4 linked regions of the Drosophila melanogaster genome follow. Changing the gene in region 4 together with the main gene of any one other region gives a genetic interaction. Each region holds a gene or a part of one and is shown on either strand. Other genes may lie near its edges. The genes, in order: fz, Rala, kay and bsk.

Evidence for each region.
Region 1: of bsk (region 4) and fz, changing one suppresses a phenotype caused by changing the other (phenotypic suppression), as found in Drosophila melanogaster (one study listed by BioGRID).
Region 2: of bsk (region 4) and Rala, changing one suppresses a phenotype caused by changing the other (phenotypic suppression), as found in Drosophila melanogaster (2 studies listed by BioGRID).
Region 3: of bsk (region 4) and kay, changing one enhances a phenotype caused by changing the other (phenotypic enhancement), as found in Drosophila melanogaster (2 studies listed by BioGRID).

Annotation. Positions count from the first base shown.
Region 1 is NT_037436.4:14,272,667-14,277,354, reverse strand, and holds the start of fz (frizzled), read right to left. Parts: upstream 3,013-4,688; 5' UTR 2,301-3,012; coding exon 1,629-2,300; intron 1-1,628. UniProt on the Drosophila melanogaster protein: Receptor for Wnt proteins.
Region 2 is NC_004354.4:3,716,627-3,721,660, forward strand, and holds the start of Rala (Ras-like protein A), read right to left. Parts: upstream 3,010-5,034; 5' UTR 2,737-3,009; intron 42-2,736; exon of another isoform or gene 1-41.
Region 3 is NT_033777.3:29,787,073-29,794,656, forward strand, and holds kay (kayak), read left to right. Parts: upstream 1-1,863; 5' UTR 1,864-3,080; coding exon 3,081-3,782; intron 3,783-4,320; coding exon 4,321-4,648; intron 4,649-4,714; coding exon 4,715-5,952; 3' UTR 5,953-7,041; downstream 7,042-7,584. Other genes in the region: sro (shroud), read left to right, coding at 7,564-7,584. UniProt on the Drosophila melanogaster protein: Developmentally regulated transcription factor AP-1 binds and recognizes the enhancer DNA sequence: 5'-TGA[CG]TCA-3'. May play a role in the function or determination of a particular subset of cells in the developing embryo.
Region 4 is NT_033779.5:10,246,963-10,252,362, reverse strand, and holds bsk (basket), read left to right. Parts: upstream 1-1,861; 5' UTR 1,862-2,082; intron 2,083-2,620; exon of another isoform or gene 2,621-3,103; 5' UTR 3,104-3,152; coding exon 3,153-3,268; intron 3,269-3,448; coding exon 3,449-3,578; intron 3,579-3,640; coding exon 3,641-3,838; intron 3,839-3,901; coding exon 3,902-4,166; intron 4,167-4,227; coding exon 4,228-4,511; intron 4,512-4,589; coding exon 4,590-4,715; 3' UTR 4,716-4,861; downstream 4,862-5,400. Other genes in the region: Ror, read right to left, coding at 1-88, 299-396; CG31717 (uncharacterized protein), read right to left, coding at 862-1,467, 1,536-1,544. UniProt on the Drosophila melanogaster protein: Mitogen-activated protein kinase and key component of the c-Jun N-terminal kinase (JNK) pathway which phosphorylate and activate transcription factors involved in a wide range of biological processes including response to various stresses, cellular proliferation, differentiation and migration, and regulation of cell shape.

The sequences.
Region 1 (4,688 bases), on a different chromosome or scaffold from region 4:
TAAAATATAGTTCTTTGTCTATTAATCATAAAGTTTATAATTTTGATTTCGACCAATTTCTTATCTGTACCTGTGGAGCCCTTATAAAACGCTTGTTAATACCACTAGTTTCTAACATGGCAATTATATGTTTATATTGTCGGATCATTATCTATCCAATAAGCATTAATTCACGCTCTCACACTGCGCCATTATCATTAGCAGACAAAGAGACCTATCTAGCTCATAAAGCACGGCAAACAGGGCCAAAACACACAGAGATACAGATACGGATTCATTTGCAGATACTCTTACAGACAGAATCGTGATGTGGGCCAAATGCAATCCAGGCAAACAAGCTGCTAAATTTCGCACGCAGCTCTCAAAAGGCATTTAAGCACGGGGTCTGGGGACTCCGGCTAAACCAAAGATGCTGACAGCCATGATGATATGGGGATGGAAAGAAGGCAGCAAGGCCAAGAGGAACTGATGACACACAGCCAAGGAAAAACGAGACCAATCAAGAAAAAGCGAGTGAGACGAAAGAAGAAAAAACACCGAGAAATCGCAATGGTAAAGTAGCTAAGAGATACACATGTATCCGCCAGATATCCAGACACTGAGGGAAGTGTGAATTATCCTGCCTCAAAGTATTTAATGCGCTTTACTTATGGCAGCCGGCAACAACAGAGTGACGGCTAAAAATAGCAAAAGATAAACACATTGGAAACACATAGACGATGATCATCACTCATCCAAAACCAACAGAAAATAAATCGTGGAAAAATCAGTCTGCTGAGGGGCTTAAGAACCCGAAAAAAAGCTGCTAAAGGAAAAGGGTGGAAAATTAATTAAAGAACGTGAAAATGCAACAGGCTGACCCTCAGTTCAAGTTATTAAACATTCTATGGTTCATGTTACATTTTTTTTTTACTTTTTTTGGGAATACTTTTAAGCAGGCATTACAAATTACACAACTCCAAAAAGAACTGGTTTACCTTTCCTCAACCGAAGCCAAAGAAAAAACGATCTACCTGCCGCTGTTAACCATCTTTTGTGAGCTGCGGGCAGGTAGAATGCGGGCTCGTCGCCCTTCTCTCCTTCTTCTCGTTATTCCTGGCCTGCCAAGGACCTCCTGCTGTTTTCCCTGGTGGTTGGAAATTGTTTTCTCGGCGCAACAGGATTTGCATTTTTCCCTACTTCTACGCTGCTCTACAAATTGAGTCTGGAGTTCAAATGAAGACATAAAAAAATCATTGACCTACATGGGACCAACCCAAATGTGGCATATTAAGTTCCAGAAATAAACGAAATACTCACTAAAAGGCTTGGGGTACTTAAAGCATACATTTAGTCAAGAAAGCGCTAAATACATTCGCTAAACAGATGTTAGTACCCAAAATTTATTTGTGCAACTTCGTTTTTAGTTTGGACATGGTTAAAAGTTTGTGCTCACCCGACGGATGATTATAGAACTTGTTTTTAACTTTTGTCATAATCATAACATGTTTAATCATAAAATTAAATGCATAAATAATAGAAAACTAATGTTTTAAAAGGTATACAGTATGCGCCTATAACCCCCTATTTTTATATGATGCTTATTTTTCGGCGCTTTTTAGTGAATTTATTTTCATTAAAGAACTTACCTTTCCGCCAACTTTTAGTTCGTAGCCCATTCCCAGAGGCGTTTTCAGTTGCACGGGGCACACGAATCCAATGTTTCGGTGCGGACTTTCTACGCCCGTCTGGTGTTTACGGGTAGTGACCTTAGCCACACTCCTTGTGGGCGTGGCCGCCGTGGAGGCCGATGATGTGGTATTCTCCGCCACGCACAAATCCTCGCCTCCATGGACGGGAAATTTGGAGCACTCCAGATTTTCCGGCCAGTTAAAGTTGTAGGTTTTCATTAACTTTTCACATACCCGCGCCGATTCGCACAGAGATCGACAAGGCGGAATGGGTCGCTCCAAAATTGTGCAGACCGGAACGTACAGGGAACAGAGGAACAACTGGAGGTCATCACTGCAGCCGATCTTCACGAGCGGAGCAAACTGATGGACCTCCAGACCCGCCTCCTCCTGCTTGGTATGGCCAATAAGATTTGGCATAATGGTCATGTTATATGGTATATTCTTGCAGATCGATATGGTGATGGGTTCACAGCGATTGTGATGTGGCAGTCCATCTAGTTCGGTCCCAGAACTGGCCATTAATCCCCCGCCGCTGCGATAATACGGACTCGCATCGAGGGGGCTCTGATCGTAGCGCTGGACCCCCTGTATCAGGGTGGGTAAAATAAACAGGATTTGACGCCACATTTTGGAATTTTTCGATATCGCTGTCAAATAACTTTTGGGGCTTTTTCTCGATCTCTTTAAACACTTTAAAACACACACATGTTGCTCATCTACTTGCACTCACTTATACACCATTGAATACTTATTTGATTTATTTTCCCTGTTTAAAAACTTCACTCCCACGAAACACTTAACACCTTTTAAATATTTGCCGGCGGCAAATATTTAGTTTGGCCTTATAAGCAAATAATAAATATTTCTCTCTATTCTCTTATTTGCGTTTGCTTTTGCTCTTTATTTTGTTTAGACTTTTTTTGTTATTTTCCGACTTCAATTTGGTTTAACCGTTTGAATTCGACTTTGCTATTTGTTGTTGGCAAAATATTATTGTGTCAAAATTTAATTTTTGGGGGTCTTTAGGACTTAGTAGCGTTGGCTTTTATCTGGCACAGTACCGGGCTTTACTTTTCTAGCAGCCACATTTTTATCTTGCTGTATGCACATACATAAGTACCGTTAGCTGTATATCATTTATGCCTCCCCCGCTTTTTGAATTTCCTTATTTCTTTCACTTTTTCGAAAACCGCGCAAAAAAATAACTGAACAAACACGGAGTCGAATTCAACTTTTTCGCACGGGACTTACGTTAAAAGACGAAAACGGAGCCGGAGTTCGAGTCGAAATCAATCCGCGAGCACATCCGCATGGTAGGGCATACGCTGACAAACTGAGGAACTGAAAACATGGGGCTCTTTCCAAGCCGCTCTCTCACCGTATCGTTCTCCTGCTCACACGCTGAATATGCGCTCTTTCGCTCGAATGGTGTGAGAGGAGGTTTTATTCAGCTATACGCTTTGTAGTATAGCACTGGGGGCGACCTTGAATTTGACACTCTCGGCGGGAGAGCCAGAGAGCCAAAGAGAGCGAAGTGAAAGACAGGGCTGTTATGCCTTTTGTTTGGATGCTGTCTCGCTCGCACTCTGTCTCCTCTCAACTTCTTGGCCTCCTGTTGATTAGCAGACAGGAAAAAGAAAGCATCAACAAACAACTAAATAAGAGACCATTTAATTAATTAGAATTCAAGATGATTATGCAATCGACAGGGCTAATAGGAAATTAGGGGCGGAAGCTGTGCCCAAATCTAGGTGTTGGGCCCGCTCAATGGAAATTTGAACATCGATATTCACTTTGTAAATACTTAAATATTTATAGATTCCAATTTAAATATTAATTAATTAACCATTTTTTCGATATAATAAATTATAACCAATCTTATGCTTATAAAATGAATAAAAGAAATAAGTGCTGCATTTAAAATGGCTCCAATATAAAAAGACTAGAATCATTTTGCCAGCAAAAAATCCTTGCTGAAATGGGATACATATCCGAAAACGAAATGAGTATACAACATTTATGTCCGAATGTCAAAAAGTTACAGTGCATGTCAGCTAAATATTTTTCAGTTTCTAAAATGTCATATTGCTTAGGTCACCGCACCTTCTTATCTTTTTATATCAATCCATCGATGCCCGTTACACTTCCCACTGTTCTTTGGTAATCTTCAGCTGTTGCAAGTGCCGTTAGAAGACATTTGCCCTCTACTGGAATATACCTATAATAATTGCTTTTCTCCAGCTTTCTTCCTCTATAGAAATACATATTTGCACGCGTTAATTTCCTTGATTTCTGCGACAATTTTTATCGTCGACCATTTCTCTGCGCACTTGCATTTACCATTTATCTTTATCTTTAGTTTTTGCTGTTGTTTGTTTACTTGCTCGCTTTTTTCCGGCAGTTAATTAAGTCATTAACTTGCGTTTAATCTGAGCTTTAGCATGAGTGAAGAGAACTTATCGCGGGAATTTGTCTAATGACCCCGTGGTGGATCGCCAAGGGAGGTGTGGGGGGTTAGGCATCTGCTGCCAGTCAATAAACTTGTTATATTGACAATAATGATGACATTAAAGGAGTCTTGGCAGTCTTTTGTCTTTGTCACCTGTAGAACCCTTTTCTCCGATCAGGCTTTCTCTGTCTCTGTCGCTCTCTACTTAACATATCTCTTTCAGCACATAACTGGCTCTCCCGCACTCTCTTTTGCGTTAAACAAGTGTTACCGGTTTAGCCGGCAAAGTTCATTTTATGCTTTGCTCTTTTTATCCGCTCTCTTCTTGGCTCCATCAACCCCAGTTCTCCCCCACCGCCACCTCCTCATCCTATTCTTCGCTTCTACACTTCGTCGGCTTGTTTAATAAAAAGCGCCAAAGTTGCGCCGCATAAAAAGGCTCTTTTTCTCGGTCTCCCCCTTGCAATCGCTAGATACACTTAACAAAAAATTAAAGTACAATTTTCAGATAAATAAGCAGTGCACTTTTAAAATCACTTATATACTATAATAATAAACAAACATAT
Region 2 (5,034 bases), on a different chromosome or scaffold from region 4:
TTGGCCGAGCAAGTTTGATCTGCCTTTGCAGATAGCGATACCTAAAAAAAAAAAAAAAAAAAAAACTAAAAACTTATTTCACACCGAGTGGTATATGAAAAATAGGTACATATATGTACGAACAATGCGTGGGAAGTGTTTTCTGAAGCGAGGAGAGCATAATTAAAACCTAGGCATAGTCAGCTGTGATAAAAGATCTTGAAATGCGATGGAGCAACAACAAAAGCCATGGGGAAACACTTGAGAGCCTGGGCATAAAACAAATAAAACCTGTATAAGGCAAATGTGTTGAGAGAACTTTGGAGATGCTGATACGATGATGTAACAAACTAAAGTCAGCTAACAAATATGTGATTGCGCGCGCGACTTTGTCAAGAATCGTTTGTTGGAAGAAATCTCAAGATTTTCAAATGTTAAATGCTTTACAAACGGATATCGTAGATCGTTGGTAACGGGCGATTAATCATTTAATTGGAAAATAACAAAGTCATTACACGTATTTAATGCACAATTCATTGATAATCAGGTATATAAAACGTATTTTGAAGACATTCGGCAGACATATTTGGCCATTATGGACAATTATCATCAAGTGTGTATAACTTTTGCATTAGGCCAACATTATTATTCGTAGAAAACAAACTTTAATGTTGGCCATAATGGACTTGGCCTAGAAGAAACATAGAAATAGAACCCATTTCCGTGATTTGTCTCCCTTGACAAAACTCCATTAGAAGTGAAATTAGAGCAAATCACAGCTTGATGGCTATAAATTAGGCTAAGTTGGCCGACTTGCGCTATCTTCTCCCTTCTGGCCAAGTTAGCAAACATGCCGGAGATGCCGAACAAAAGATGAGAAAACTACATATATACCAAAAACTGTGTCACTGCGAAAGATCGTGAAGATTATGAGTCAGTGTTTTCAACTCTATTGTTAATCTATTCTCGCCTGCCAGAGAATTATATTTGAAAAGGTCAGAGGTGAAACAGCTAACAAATTGCTCGGCTATATCTTGCAAATAATGTAAGATTTTGTTTACACTTTTGATAACGATTAAATTTCTCTGGAATATGAATGGCTCATATTCTACAGACCGATCTGAAATCAAAACTGGTTTCGCATTTTGTAAATAATAAGGCAAACTACACAAAGAGCAGTTATTGATTATTTAAGCACTCAGTTTTAAAGGAACTGAGAACGCATTTTTTTTTGACATACTTCAGCTATTCACTTCCCCCCGTTCGCATTTCGTTCAATTGGTGAGAGCTTTTAACGCCCCTTGGCAACCAAACAAACAAACAAATAATTAGGAAATGTTGGTGAAAGGGGGAAAGGGGTCAACACATACGATTAAGTGAGTCATAGATAAATGAAATTATTCAATATAAAACAAGCTGGCACTCAAATTGATCTTGAACTTGAGCCTAATTAGAAACTGTAAAACCATTTTTCTGTGTCACGTTTTTCAGTTTTCCTCATTTGCTTTAGGCGTGTTGGATAAAAAGATGGAACATTCAGATGCGCATAAAGTTGAAGCGGATTAACTAACGATCACCATCATGATGATCTAACGCTAATGTCAAAATGGTTCTCCGATTAGCAACAGAACCCGAAAATCGGCACGTTCGTGGAGATAATGAGAAATGGGGAAAGGGAAAGATGGTAGCGGAAAACGGGTCACTGTGAGAAAATAACGCCACAGAGCGAATGCCATCAAAAGCGATCTCACAAAATAACAGAGATTAAAACCAGACACCGTTTCTGCGAATTTTCTTGCATTTCAAACGACAATTTTCGAGTGCCAAAGAAGGTTCTTAGAAATTCGAAATATGTGATTAATGAAGAAATGTGCTTAATAAACTTGTCATTTAAAAAAAAACTCAACTGTATTTAACTGTTGGTTAAATAATATTTGTATAATGTTAAATTATTACTAATACTTGGGAAAATTCGGCAAATGTTATTTAGAGCGGCGTAAACGAGATCCCAAAGCGGAATTGGGATAAAGAGAAGTTTAAAAAGCAAAGGGGCGATGGGGGCGTGTGCGTGCTTGCTTGTGTGTGTGTGTTTGTGTGTATGAGTCAACGCGCAAAATGCGGGCGGCGACTGCACCTTGCACACCCCGCAAAAAGAGAGGGCGATAAAGCAGGAGAGAGCGGCAGCGAGAGCGAGAGAGAATAAGGTCAAGCGGGGTGCGGCAACAAATATTTCTGCTGATAGCCGTTGATAAAAGGCTCTCGCCGCCCTTCTCCTTTTCTTTCTCTCTCTCTCTCTATCTCTCGCTCTCCGTGTGCTCATCAGTCCGCTCCTTTCCTTTATTTTGCTGAATGGAGCACACACACAAAAATGCCAAGCGCAATACCTTTTATTTAGTTTACATTTAAATATTCAACAAAGCAAATAGCAGCAGAAAGATTTCACTGCTGAGTTTTTTTTTCACCTCTTGCTTTGCTCACACACATATACACACACACACACACACATCCACTTTCTTCGACGTCGACTGCAACGCCGGCAGCGGCGCCTTTTGGCGGCTTTTACAAATTTTGTTTATGAAACAAAAAACCCCTGTGTATATTCCTTTCTGGGATTTCATCGGTGTATACACCCAGATAAAAAGAAAGAATCTTTCCACACGGCAGACATCATGAAGAACAACATACGAAATATGCGTAATCACTCTATAATGCTTTAGCTGTAAATGCTTTTGCTTCTCTTTCCTCCTTTTTGCGTACTTCGTTTTCTTCCTTCCTTTTTATTGTATTTTGCGCGTCCGCTTTGGCCTGTCGCTTCGTTTGTTGTTGCTTTGCTGTGTTATCTCGCACTTGATGCACTAAACTAAACAAAAAAGTTACAGGCGCGATCGGAGAATCGGCAACTGATGAATTAACAGGATCGGAACGCAACAGTAAATTGGCTGCTTTTCGGTTTCTCTTCTCGTTCGCCGCACACCGCAATTAAAGTTCCGTTGGTTTTGCTTGCTTGAAAGAAACTAGTGTGAAAGTGGAAAAATACCACAGAGGTGCACCAATGTGACCGCTCTGCCATCGATCAATTATACCAAGCACAAGCATCACTAAGAATAACACAAAAATACCAATAAGTTCCGTCTTATATTGAGGTGGGTGTGATCGCTAAGGCTGGTGGGTGTACTCGCTTTGCTGGTTGATGTACTCGATAGGCGAGCGAGCGAGTTGTGCACTCGCTGGCGAGCGGTTTAAGTATCCGATAACTATGGTTGGTGCACACGCTAAGTAACAAGTGACCGCTAAACTGCTACTTTAACAGACACAACTGTGCATGTTAAGCGCACTCATCGTTCCGCCAGATGGCTTCTTTGCACACTCGTTTCGGTATTTTTTTTACACCAACTTACAGTATATTTTTAGGCCATTTCTGCGTGTGTGCGTTCGTGTGAATATTGTGAATATTTTTTTTACTGTGAAAATAGACAAAAATCGGCTGTGGAAAACCGAAGTAAACACATTTGGGAATCATGGCGATTGGCCCTTAACCTTAACCCTTAAGTGTCGTGCCGACAGTGCCACGCCACAAACCCAAATCCCAAAGAAACAAAAGCGAAAGAAAAAAAAAAAAGAACAACAAAAAGCTATAGTTGCAGCCTCTGAAAGTTTAAGACAATCGCCGATCCGATCGGAAGCGGAAGATATATGCTCGCCACACCAAATGGCATGGTAAACACCTCTCGTTCCTCTAAATGTGATGTCGATGTCGGAAAAGCCGTAGAAATCGTACAATTCCTAAAATCGCAAACTTAACCTCGCAGCGTTGTGTGCAAAAACGGAGAGGGGTGGGGGGGAAACAACGGAAAAAAAAGGCAACGCAAAGCAAAGCAAACGAAAAGCGAAGCGTGTGCGAGCGAGAGGCGAGTGAATAGCATTGTTGTTATTGTTGTAGTGACTTTTATTTTATCTCAGCCGGCGATTTAATTCTCTCGCACTCACACATATTCACGCGAATAAAAGTAAATTCAAATAAATACACTCGCAAAAACAAATTGGCACCGGTAACAATTCAAAAAAACTTATGCACATGTGTGTATGTGTGTGTGTGTGTGTGTGTGTGCACTTAGGAGCAGTTGGAGGCGTGGCATGTGTGTATGCCAATTAGTACGGCTAGTTGTTGGGTCGTTCATTTTGCTCCTTCCCGCTATCAGACTCGCTCTTTGCCCTGCATTTTCTCGCCGAGTGCAAAAGGAAAATAACAAAAAACCTCACTCCAATTGGAGATTCGAGATGCCGATCTCTAAAGCGCAGGCAGGGCAACAACAAAAGCGCCAAGAAGAAGACGGAAAAGGGAAAGATTCGAACTAAAACCTATTGGGATTTCATCTTGGAACATTAACCCTTAGGCGGGCTGAAATGTTGTTTAAATCATATTGAGAAATTTCCCAATAAAAGCGTATTGCATTTAAAAGGATGCCAAGTTTTTCAATTATACAAGTGTAGTTTATGAGCGTGTTTTTAATGAAATACCTAAACATGGCCAGGTTTTGGCAAAACCTCTGCTTGCATTCAATTATAGCACACACAATTATTTCACTGAAACTCAATTGATAATACAATACATATTTGGTAATTTCTTGTTTGCTGCTATGAGCAAAACAAAAACGTTGATAAGATGAAATGCCTTTAGATAGGGGCCTTTATATAAGCCACACAGTGCGTGCTAAAAATATGCATGTGGCAAATTAGTGATATTAAATTGTTATTTATTAATTTTTTCAGATGAATTTGTCACTTTATTATTGCCATGGCTCTGACAAATCTTGTCGCACTCGTTGCCGACATTTGCAATCGATCAATATTAAAATATTGAATAACTAAACCAACCACGAGCTAAAAGAAAAATTTCAGAAAAACTTTTGTATCTGAATCGAAAACAAAAAAAAAAACAAATTCCTATCGGCGCTTATAATCACAAAGTAATGGATCAATTTCAAACTTCACTAAATCCGCGGAAACTCGAGCTTCTGGAGTCTCGAATTACTGGAGTGCGGGTAAGTGCGAATG
Region 3 (7,584 bases), on a different chromosome or scaffold from region 4:
TAGCCTTTGTTTCGGCCGCTCCAAACGCTTATTAGCCGCTTTGATATAAACAATGCAAATTGTCGTCGCTGTTTTCGTTTTTGCCAACGCTTGTTTTTGCCTTCGATGATGCCAAGTTTTTTGTTTTTTTTTGTGCCGTCATTACGTCATTGTCAGGCTAAAATTGGTCTAAAAATAGCCCAACACGTCAGCTGAAAGCAGAAGGCAAAGTCTCGGGCCCGAGAATTTCTTAGCCACTCAACTTGTTGCATCTTCACCTTCCTCCTCTGCCCAGCGTTTAAAAACATGTGAATGTGTTTTTGAACTAATTAGAGCCAAGGTCAAAGTTGATGGTCTAATCAAAATGATAGCGCGGATTTACAGGCAATTGATAAGTTTGAGTTTTCAGGGAATTCCTTTGGGAAGTGGCAATTTTTAGGTTTTGAAATATTTTTGTAAGTTGCAGTCACCATACATTTATTTAGGGGCCACTTTGGTTTGGCTTGAACCGCCCGCAAATCAAATTTGCAGCAGTCGCGTGTATTAGTCAGCAATTTGTTGCTTTTCGCTACGTCAGTGTTTTACTTTTTCTTTTTTTTTTTTACTCTCCACTGCTGGCTGTTCGATGTTCGCTGCTCGTTTCATTTGGTTCATAATTGACCCCCAGATGTGAACTCGGTGTCCGGAGATATGACTCTGTCCAACGTTCCGATAGGAGAATCGAGATCGCCATCCGAGCTGGCTGGCAAGCAATTTAGACAATTCAATTCGCCGCGCTTGATTGCCAGCATTCTATATCATCACTTGTTTTGCATACGTACATTTTCCAAATTGACTGATTCATCATCGGCTAAATGCGGTTCATGTTCGCGAGGGACAAGTTCAAATGGCAAAAAAGTGGGTTAAAACGAAAGTAGCCAGCCAAACAAAGGTGGCCAAACAGCCAAGGCGGCCGAGTTGAAAGTAAATTTCGCATACGAAATTAAAAAGTAAATATATCACAAAGAATAAAATCGATTGTTTGCTGTCAATAAGGGAACGGCCTTTGGGATTGGGAAACACGGCTGCGATAAGATCGTCAAATAAATAAGCACACAAGCCGCTCGAACTCGCTGCACGGAGAGAAAAGAAGGCATACTACTTCAAAAATGTAGCCCCAGTGCAACTGGTATGTGTGTGTGTGTGTGTTGCTCTTAGCCCACAACAAAAGCCAGCAATTAGCGTATTGGCCAACTTGCTGGCGACGGAAATAAACGCTCTTGGCGAGACAGGGGGTCTGAACTGAACTGAACTGAACTGAAAACATAGTTAATGTGGATGTGCCACACGCACACACCTGTTCGTGGGACATCTGTCGAATCGGACATGTGTATATATGTATGTAGCTTATGTTTACTCGGAATCATCGCTTTTGGCCAAAACATTGGGCCTGATTTATGGGCAACTGAAAGGCTTTTCCGTGGAAGCGAAGAATGAGCCTCTGGCAAGTTCGGCAAATCGGAAGCAGAAGCATATACATATGTACATAAGCCACCACCACATTCTACTATAGCTAACTAAATGTACATATTTCGCTTTGAATGCGGCAAAAGCGAGCGTGGTCGTCGTGTGGGCAGCCGCTCAATTAAGAGCAGCCAGCGTTTAGGATCATTTGATTTCCCAGCGGCTGTCTTCTAATTTGAGCAGCCAGCTCGCACAACACACGCCCAGCAGACAGCAGACAGCTCTCCGGATTCGGATGCGGGTTCGGGTTCTCTAGTAGTTCTCAAGATATATAAATATATATATGATATGTATATATATACATATATATGCATACATCTGCGGCGATCTCTCGATCGCGATCGTTGCCAATTTCGCTCGCCGGAGATTCTGATGCGATTCAGTCGCAAACGAACAACGAACCATCGAAGTTTAGAAAATATCTAACAATTAAAAGCGATCGCGCGCGCGCTTTTCCTCGAATCGCATCGCATCGAATCGAAACGCGAAACTCAAACAACGAAACGAAAATAAATTTGGAAAACTGCAATTGTCGTTGGGTTTTCGGTGCGCGTGCATTGCCAAAACGAATCAGGAGCAAAAAAAACGAATCAGTCGGCTATATGTACATATATACATATAGACGCAAAACAACGCACATTTCTCGGCTGCAAGCGCGTGGATCGAAATATATATGCCATACGAATATACATATATATATATATATATATGTAAATATAGCCAAACCCAGAAATAAAAGCGCAAAGGGAGGCATAACACTCGCTGTGTTGAGAGGCGTTGCCCATGGCCGAGGAATTTCTGAATACAACAAATGCAGCATTAATTGAACTAGCTCAAGGCTCCATGTCCGTGTAAATCTCTATAATTATATAATAATCGAATTTGCGGCTCACACAGTGGAGCGACTTAAACTGGACACGTGTCGCTGGATTTTGGGCCTCGCACACTTACGATAAACTGCGTCGATTATGAGCGCTTTCGCCGAGCGGAATGTGCGTTTCAATCCTTTGCGAAATCAGCAAACGCTTATCGTTAAGCGGCTGAGACCGCCGGAGAGCCAAAACTTCAAGAACTGAGCAATCGAACAACGAACATATACGAAATCTGCTCACGGCTCGCAGCTAGCAAGAAGTCAAATCAAACGAACCCTTTTTCTTTATTAGGAAAGAGCCAACGCAGAAAGCAAACGAAATACACAATACACACAAAAAAAAGAAGCTATGAAACAAAGCCAAAAACGAACGAATTTCTAAGCAACTAGAACAACACTGCGACAACAAACAGCATAGGAGCATCCAAACGAACGGAATTATAAAGACAAGAAAGGATCATCAGCACATTGTTAGGAAACTTTGGGAACAGAGTCCCAATTTGTACATATACTCTAGTTTAGCTAGTAACTAGATTCTTAGATTGTTGAATTGTTTTTGTTGATTTTGAATACAATTCGCATATATCATTGTTGTCCCAATTGTTGTGTTAGCTTAGCTAGGCTAAGAACCCCAACGAATACTAGTCAGCCGCCCAACTGTGCGTATACGCAACGCGAGTGCGTATACTTAATATTTAGGTTTAGATCGATAAGCAGCGAACAAATGATGAAAAATCTCAACGGTAGGACGCACAATGCGTGCTACCATCCCTACTACCACCAATCGCTGCATTTTGCTCAGCAGCAGCAGCAGCAGCAGCAGCATCATCTGCAGCAACAGCAGCAACATATGCAGCAGCAGCAGCAGCAACAGCAAGCGCCGCAGCAACAGTTGCGTCATCAGCAACGGCAACTGCCCACGCAGCCAGCCTACCAGCAATCGCAATCGGTTGCCCACAATGCTTTTCCACTGCGCAGCAGCAGCAACAATTATGGCCATGTTGCTAGCAGCGCCTACGCTGCCAGCAGCGGCAGTCACAACAGCAACAATGCGGCTGCCATGGCCGCCGTCTGCCAAATGCAGAATTTTTTCAACCAGCAACAGCAGCAGCAGCAGCAACTGGAGTTCAACAACAATTGCATGCCCATTAATTACTACCAGCAGCAGCAGCAGCAACATTACCCTTCCGAGTCCCAGTCCTCCGCCTCCGGCTGGAATCCCGAAACCCCTGGGCAGGCGCAACTCGCCTTGACGGCCACAACATGCAACACCACTGCAGCTGCAACATGCAACACCACTGCAGCTGCAACAACGAGCACAACTGCAACATCTGCTGCCGCTGGCAGCGACAACAACCACAGCGACAACTTTGCAATGGACGCCAGTGAGATAGCCACTTTCCTCGCCAACGAGCTTTTCCTACAGCAGGTACCACAGATCGATCGATGATGATGCCTCCGATTCTGGTCGAGATTGGGATAGATTTGGGCGCGAAACAATTGGCAAGCGGCATGCGTACTTAATCATCGCCGAAAATAGAACAAATGCGGAACAACAAAGGGGTGGGCAAATATAAACAAAGTGATGGATTGGCCGCCTCTCTTTCGGTTTCTTCATCTCTCTTCGCCTCTTTTTTTTTCGTTTTTTGTTTGGCCAAAAACACGTTCGCTAATTCGCTAGAAATGTACGGATAAGCAAGAGGTCTTACAGACTTAGCAATAGCTTTTGATGTTGACTGATATCTGAACTCGACCCAAATTACTCATGTGATAAGAATAAATTCCCAAACATCCTTAAGCTATTCGCGGGCAACACTGCGTATGCGTGATATATGTATACTGATATGGCATTGTAGAGGGTTTCGTGCTTGTCATGAGCTTTAATGAGCGTTAATAGTAATCCATCTTCTCAGATACTTGCACTCATAGATGTCTTTACTAATCATGCACCTTTTCTGCTCTTGCAGCTCGGCAACTTTGAGACCGGCCAGAGTGTTCTCACACTGACGACGCCCACGTTGACGCCGACCACCACGCGCAACATCGAGGACACACTGGGCCACTTGCTCTCGGACACGCAGACCGATCGTGTGGCTGGTTGCGCGGGATTTGCAGTGCCAAAGGTGCTACCCAATGCCATTGATGTCCTGGGCATGGGTATTCCCACCGGTGTTTCGTCGCTCCCACTTCAGCAGACATTCGATTTGAGCCTGGGGCAGGGCAGCGAGTCCGAGGACTCCAACGCTTCGTACAACGATACGCAGATGAACGAGGAGCAGGACACGACCGATACTTGTAAGTGAAGCTGGCACGAATTGCTCCGAATGTCTACTAACTCCCTTTTATTTCATACGCCTGCAGCAAGTGCCCATACGGACAGCACCTCGTACCAAGCTGGCCACATCATGGCGGGCAGCGTGAACGGCGGCGGTGTCAACAACTTCTCCAATGTCCTGGCCGCCGTGAGCTCTAGCCGCGGATCGGCGTCGGTGGGCAGCAGCAACGCGAATACCTCAAATACGCCGGCTCGTCGTGGCGGTGGCAGACGCCCCAACCGGTCGACGAACATGACCCCGGAGGAGGAGCAGAAGCGGGCCGTGCGCCGGGAGCGGAACAAACAGGCGGCGGCCCGTTGCCGCAAGAGGCGCGTGGACCAGACCAACGAGCTCACCGAGGAGGTGGAGCAGCTGGAGAAGCGGGGCGAGAGCATGCGCAAGGAGATCGAGGTGCTGACGAATAGCAAGAATCAGCTGGAGTACCTTCTGGCCACCCACCGGGCCACCTGCCAAAAGATTCGCTCCGACATGCTGAGCGTGGTCACCTGCAACGGTCTGATTGCCCCGGCCGGACTCCTGAGTGCAGGGAGCAGCGGCAGCGGCGCGAGCAGCCATCACAACCACAACAGCAACGACAGCAGCAACGGCACGATTACGGGCATGGACGCCACGCTGAACTCCACCGGGAGGAGCAATTCACCCTTGGATCTCAAGCCGGCGGCGAACATCGATAGCCTGCTGATGCACATCAAGGACGAGCCACTCGATGGCGCCATCGACTCAGGATCCAGCCTGGACCAGGACGGTCCGCCGCCCAGCAAGCGCATCACCTTGCCGCCCATGTCCACGATGCCGCACGTTCACTTGTCCACGATATTAACGCCCACCGGCGCCTCGTCGGGATCTCTGCAGACGCCGATCACGAGCACGGCGCCCGGCGGATTCGGCAGCGCCTTCCCGGTGACCTCCAACGGCAGCAGCATCAACAACATCAACAGCATCGGCAACAACATGAACTCTCCCACGCTGAATGCGCATAACAAGGTGCCTAAGGAGCGGCCCAATACGCTGGCTTTCCAGCGTCCTCTGGGCCAGATGCACCTCACCATGGCCAACAACAAGGCGGGTGGGCCCACGCAGATCCAGGGCGTGCCCATCCAGACGCCCTCGACCGGCACCTTCAACTTCGACTCCCTGATGGACGGCGGCACTGGGCTAACGCCCGTCTCCGGACCCCTCGTACCGAACAGCTCCTCCACGAACAAGCACCCGCTGGAGCTGCCCACGCCCACCGCCGAGCCGTCCAAGCTGGTCAGCTTATAACCGGACCGGATCTGGGACGGGGATGGGGGCCGAGTCAGGATTAAGTTAAGTTTTATATAGTTGGCAGGCAAACAACGGAAGGAAACCGCGAAGCACTTTTCTAGTTGTAGGAGATGTTTTCATTTTTGTAATATGCTGTAATATGCGTAAACGTGACGAATGTGTTGTTTCGTTAACTCTAATGTTTTTGTATTATTATCTTTATTATGGTTAATTTATGATTTCGCTATGTCTTTTACATACGCCGAGGAGCTATGTACATATGTTATGTACTTGTAATTTGTGCAATTTTCAAACCTCTTCATTGCGCGTTGTATATTTTCAAAAAATATAAGAACGCGAACGCGAACGCGAACGACCGACGATGCATGATGAGAATGATAAGGATAATGATGATAATAGGGCGTGTAGATTTGCAGGATGCGTTGTGATATTTATTATAAAACGAATACAAAAGATGCGAGGATGAAACAAAGTAGAAAGCAAACAGGAGCGTCTAATGAAAGGAACTAAGCCGGTTTTAAAATTGTACATTTAAACGAATCGTAAAGCGTAAATATACTATAAAACAAAACAAAGTGAATATATATTCAGCATACAAACTAAATACAATGCCTTGAGAGAGAATTAAGAAATGCAAACCTTTATATATAGAGATCTACATACATATATGTATGCATGTACATTTAAAGCTAAACAATAATGGCGTTGAAGCGAGTTTTATATTGAGCAAAAGCAAATGTGAAATGAGATAAATATACTTATTGTGTACTCTGTAAGCTGCAGTAGAAACCAAAATATATTTTTACTAAACGCAACATTGCGCTATTTTCAAATACCATTTATAAGAAATGACAAAAGCAAAGCAATTATTTAATATGTAATTATGTATTATGTATACCTATATCTACCTACCCACAACCTTAAATCAAAAAACCCAAAACGATTCAACAAAAGCTGATCAGGTAAAGCAACTCTCGCCAGTTTCCACACTAAATTCTCAGAATATTCAAAATTTTAATCTATACAAAACCAAACCGATTGATAGCAAATAAATGCACTTATAAGGGCAGAAAAACACCAAAATTTAAAAATGAAATGGAATAAAATAGAAATAAAAAGACCGACAAAACCTAAAGACGATTTGTGGAATTATTTCTGAAGTTATAGCGATTCACATGACTTGCAAATGGGCTGGCTCGTCGTCAGGTAAACATATCAGGTAGATTAGGGTGGACCAACAAAGGCTGCATTCTCAATTTCTGCAGACTTCTTCAAGCGATTTGAAGTACTTACTTATGGAAGTAAACCTCATTGAGAAAATGGCTCTAATGTGAAAATGCGATCATTCAAGTTATGAAAACATTATGAGATAGAAACACCTAGTTGCTGCCATAAAGACCAGTCTGAAGGGCAGGTAAACGCAGCCGTGTTCTTCCACTCGTCTGATAATGGCACAAACGAGTATATATGTACATACAACACACGCTGCATATATTCATTTTCGGGTTTGCCTTATTTTGCATTTTTTTTTGTTTTTTTTGGGATCTGTTGCTTTCGGTGCAGCCACGAATCGCGGATCTCTGTTTCAGTTACTCGAGAAGCGGCGATATGAGCGGCAGTCAACTTCTT
Region 4 (5,400 bases):
GGGGGATACGAAAACATGGGCATTGCTCAAGACATCGCGACAAATGGTGCCATTGTAAATATGGCAAATACCTGATGATTGCTGGAAACTGCAGGGCAAATAATATATTGCATTTTTAAGGATTAAAAGGATAAGGGCGTCTAAAGATTTCTGCATTCGAGTATACACTATGTTTAGTAATTTAAAAATATATAAAACATGTTAAGCTCATGATTTCATTAATTATTAATTCCACACAAAAGTATTTCGCTAATTATTGTTGCGGAAACTTGGGAAAACTTTCAGTGAAAATACCTACCCATATATTCTTGAGTCCACATTATGGCTCCCCACATCCTTTTTTGTAAATAAAAGCACGAGCGAAATGCAGACTATAAATGCCGAGTATTTGTTCATATTGCTTAATCTAGCTAACAATATGAAGCCTTTTGTTATTTCAATAGTCCAATTGACATGCCAACGATTCCGAAAATATTTTTGTATTTATCCTTTCGCGAAAACTTTATGTGGCATACAACATTTCATCCCCCGACGAAGTCGTTGGGGTTGTTGACTCCTTATCGATGAATCGATATATTTAGGAGTGCTATGACTCGGAACAAAGGAATTACACTATAATTTCTTATAATTAATAATCCAAATATCTTCAAAAGCTTTATTTATTTTATTAAAGATGGTTGTATAACGACTTTAGTCTCATTTAAAGTACACTTTCCCTTTTCACAGTGAAATAAGGGTAGAAAAATTATGCGAAATACACAATAATATGAATTTAACATTAACAATGTATTTGGTTAAAGCATTTATCATAATGATCTAGAGATTATCTATTGCTTTCGGTGTTCCAATCGTAACTTATCGTTACTCCATGCTGTCGACAGTTTCCTCGGTAACAAAGCCCACAATGCTAAATGCAGTTTCCTCGCTGATCCACAGAAGTCCCACGATTAGTGCCTCCAACACTCCGATGGCAGCACCGGCGCAGATATCCAAAATATAATGACGCTGGAGGATGAGCCGTGAGATGGCCACGCTTACAGCCCAAGCTGTGACCGGCATTAGGAATATGATGTGAAGCGGATACAGCTTGGCGAAGAACAGCAGCACAAAGAACGCCCGGGAGGCATGACCTGAGGGAAAGCTGAACTTATCGGGTCCAATGGTCAGCATATCCTTGCTGGCCACCGGTCGCCTGCGACGAACAAGCGCCTTCAGCACGGCCACGATCACTACGTCGAGTATCAGGCCGAAGAGCATATTGACTTGCATTTGATACAAGCTCTTCGAGCTGAGCAACCAGATGAAGGCGATCCATGAGACAAACCAGGCGATTCCATCGCATGATATCTCCAGAAATCTGCTGTGGATCCGCAGGGATTTGAAGAACGACAGATTGGAGACGGCTACTACAAAATGCTTCGACACCTGAACATCCTTCTCCAATAGGTATTTAAGTGCTGGTGATGACTGCAAGGACAAGATTTTAAAATTAGCACTTATCAGCTTATGTGATTCATCAGTGGCCAAAAACCAACCGTCCTCATATCGCTGTGTATTTCAACTCTTTTGTTTTTATTTATTGTTAGTGATGACAGTATTTCTCATTCGTCATTCGATGTATACTCGATAAGTCGAGCAAAGGAATATCTAATGACCGGAACGGTGAAATGAAACACTGCGCCAACTTAGTTTTTGGTCTTTATTAAATAAATTGCATTTGTATATGTTTATTTGTAAGTTATTAACACTTATTAGGTTTTAAACCCCTAATTAAACCTAATTTTAATCAAAAGTCGATTGGCTGACTTTAGCCGTTTCTGGTTTTGGTCCTACTGCAATCTGGTCACATCGATTTAAGTAACTTTGTTGTGATCGAATATTCCAATAGATTTTCGTATATTGTATTGTATCCATGTACAATTATTCTCATGCGAAAGTGCCGCAGATAGTTGATTCTTAAATTTCAATAACATTAACATAGTTTAAAATGCTCGCCACTTTGAGTGCCCAGTGTGTAGAATAAAATAGAAAAAAAATCGATTTTATATTTTCACAAGAAATTCTGTACTTCTTCGTTAAATGGTAAATAAATATTCTATTACGTTCCATTCACATCAAATATCGAATCACCGAAACACTCCTGCAAAACGTGCCATAATCGATTGAAAGCAATTATAGTTGTGCCGGTTATGAAAAAAATTATTGATATTTAACATAAAATGTCAACTGCCCAAAGAGTGTATGTACCTATGTATGCGCAAATGTCTAACGTTTACATATCGACACTACCCGAAGCGTAGACCGCTTTATTATCTGCAGCGCAAACGAGCGCTTTTTCGATGTACGAATACGGGGAATATCTTTTATCTGAGAGATAGTTTGAAAAGTTACTAAATTATCGACCCACATTTGTGTGGCTGTATGTGCATATGTATGTATGTGGCTTACATCTTACACATATGTATACCAGTAGAAGTTTACAGTTTTCATCCGCATACAAATCGTGTGTATGTACATATTTACACAGGCAACGGCATGCATACACATGAACGCTATGTACATCGCTGTGGTCCAACATTCCGTACTTTTATGTTTAAGCCGGACATATCGATTTTAAATCGGTTTTTTTTCCTGTGCGTGCCGCTAAACACTTTGCTCAAAGAACGAAACGCTCGGTTATTTCTGTTGGGTGTTTTTCCAACCATATTCGACATGTGTTCGGCAAACATTTAAATGCTTATCAATAGAAAAGGGGGTTCGGCATTCGAAGTCGGCTCAAATAAGTGACTGCGTTATGCAATTGTATCTTTTTGAAGGAACTCGATATTTTTTGCTCGTGGTTTGGCAACAAACTCGCCACACACTAGCCAGTAAATTTCACCCCTCGCGACAACAGAGACCCACTTAATGGCCATAACATTCTGCCGAAATAAGGCCAGGCAAAGTTAATGTTTTCCTACCCCCTAATTCCAGACGAAGTTGTCTGAAAACTGCCTCCACCCATTCAGAATGGAGCCATACATACGGACGTCTTTGCTCCTTATATAAAACAGAATCACACTGTAAAACCGTATTGATTTATCTTATTTACCCTCTTGAAAAGGCCGATATGCTCCTTGCTCTCAACTAGTAATAAATAAAATCAGTGAACAATGACGACAGCTCAGCACCAACACTACACCGTCGAGGTGGGGGACACCAACTTCACCATCCACAGTCGGTACATTAATCTACGGCCCATAGGATCAGGTGCCCAAGGAATAGTATGGTAAGTGGTTATCAATATGTTATTACATATAATACATTTAACAATTTTTTGGCTTAAACAATTAAGATATTTCGCATGAGTATGAAGTCATATTTGTAACGCTCCATTGTATATTAGATTAGATTAGATGGGATTAGCTGGAATATGAAAAAAAAAAATAACAAATTTAATGCATTTCAGCGCCGCTTACGATACTATCACCCAGCAAAATGTGGCGATTAAGAAACTATCTCGACCATTCCAAAATGTAACCCATGCCAAGCGAGCATATAGGGAATTCAAGCTAATGAAGCTTGTTAACCATAAAAACGTATGAAACTTGCACCTTTAACTTTAACAAATTTCTACTAAACATAGGTATTTAATCCGTAGATAATTGGCTTACTTAATGCTTTTACGCCGCAAAGGAACTTGGAAGAGTTTCAGGATGTCTACCTGGTCATGGAGCTGATGGACGCTAATCTCTGCCAGGTCATCCAAATGGACTTGGATCACGACAGAATGTCCTATTTGCTTTATCAAATGTTGTGCGGAATAAAACATTTACACTCAGCAGGAATTATTCACAGAGTACGTACAGTATGAATACATCTTTAAAATGAGTATGAAATATATGAAATACTTCATTTGCAGGACTTAAAGCCATCCAATATAGTTGTAAAGGCCGACTGCACTCTAAAAATTTTGGATTTCGGTCTGGCACGTACTGCAGGAACTACCTTTATGATGACTCCCTATGTGGTCACCCGATATTACAGGGCTCCAGAGGTCATTTTGGGCATGGGATACACAGAGAACGTGGACATATGGTCCGTCGGTTGCATTATGGGCGAAATGATACGGGGCGGTGTGCTGTTTCCTGGAACGGATCATATAGATCAGTGGAATAAAATTATTGGTATGTTGCTGCTTAAATAACTTGATTCTCGTTATGATTGTCAACTTTTACGTTTTTTCAGAGCAATTAGGTACACCATCACCCTCGTTTATGCAACGGTTACAGCCAACCGTCCGAAACTATGTGGAAAATCGTCCTAGATACACTGGATACTCATTTGATAGACTTTTCCCCGATGGCTTGTTTCCAAATGATAATAATCAGAATAGCCGCCGGAAGGCTTCTGACGCTAGAAATCTTCTTAGTAAAATGCTAGTCATTGATCCAGAGCAGCGGATATCTGTGGACGAGGCTTTGAAGCATGAATATATCAACGTGTGGTATGATGCTGAGGAAGTGGATGCTGTAAGTGATTCTGGCATAAACTGGATTTCTAGGAATGTTGAATGTTTTTAATCGCTTAATTGCATGCATCTCTTGCAGCCCGCTCCGGAGCCATATGATCACAGCGTGGACGAAAGGGAACACACTGTGGAGCAGTGGAAGGAGCTAATCTATGAGGAAGTCATGGACTACGAAGCACACAATACAAATAATAGAACGCGGTAGAGAACGACTTTTTCCTCCTTAGTCAGTCACAAGAAAACTAAAGCTTACCAACAATACGGCGTGTATTGTTAAATTATTACAACAAATAAAATATTCAAATTGTATTTAAAAATATAGTAACCATTAAAAAATAAAATCAATATGCGAAACTTTGTAATTTCTTACTCATCCTTGTTTTTTGAGCCCGCTTTCTTAAGTTAAATCGTTAAAATACCAGTTTAATCATTTCATTGTCCTGATTTCAGGAGCTAATTACATTTTAATCTTTGTATAAATTCATAAAATTTAAATGGAAAAGTTTAACCATATAAATTATTTCGGTATATAAAGTCGATACATACTTTTAAAATTTTGTTTCATACAAGAATATGGAAAGTAGATAATTTAGTTACCGATAAAAACATTTCTAAAATACAAAAAATTTAAAATGATGATTAAATAAAAAACTGTTATACTAAATTTAAACGAAACAAACGGTCATTCGATAACTCAATTAGTATCGAATAAGCCGGCGTGTAAATCGGGCTGGCAACTCTCACCGGTGTAGAGATCGGGATGGCAACTTCGTACTGTTATTCCTATGCTGCGATAACGATAACAGCAAAGTGTCATCGCGAATAAATGTGGGTTTGATAATAAAGAATTGCGTTGGTGAACAATAATAATACAAATGCTAAATGTATCG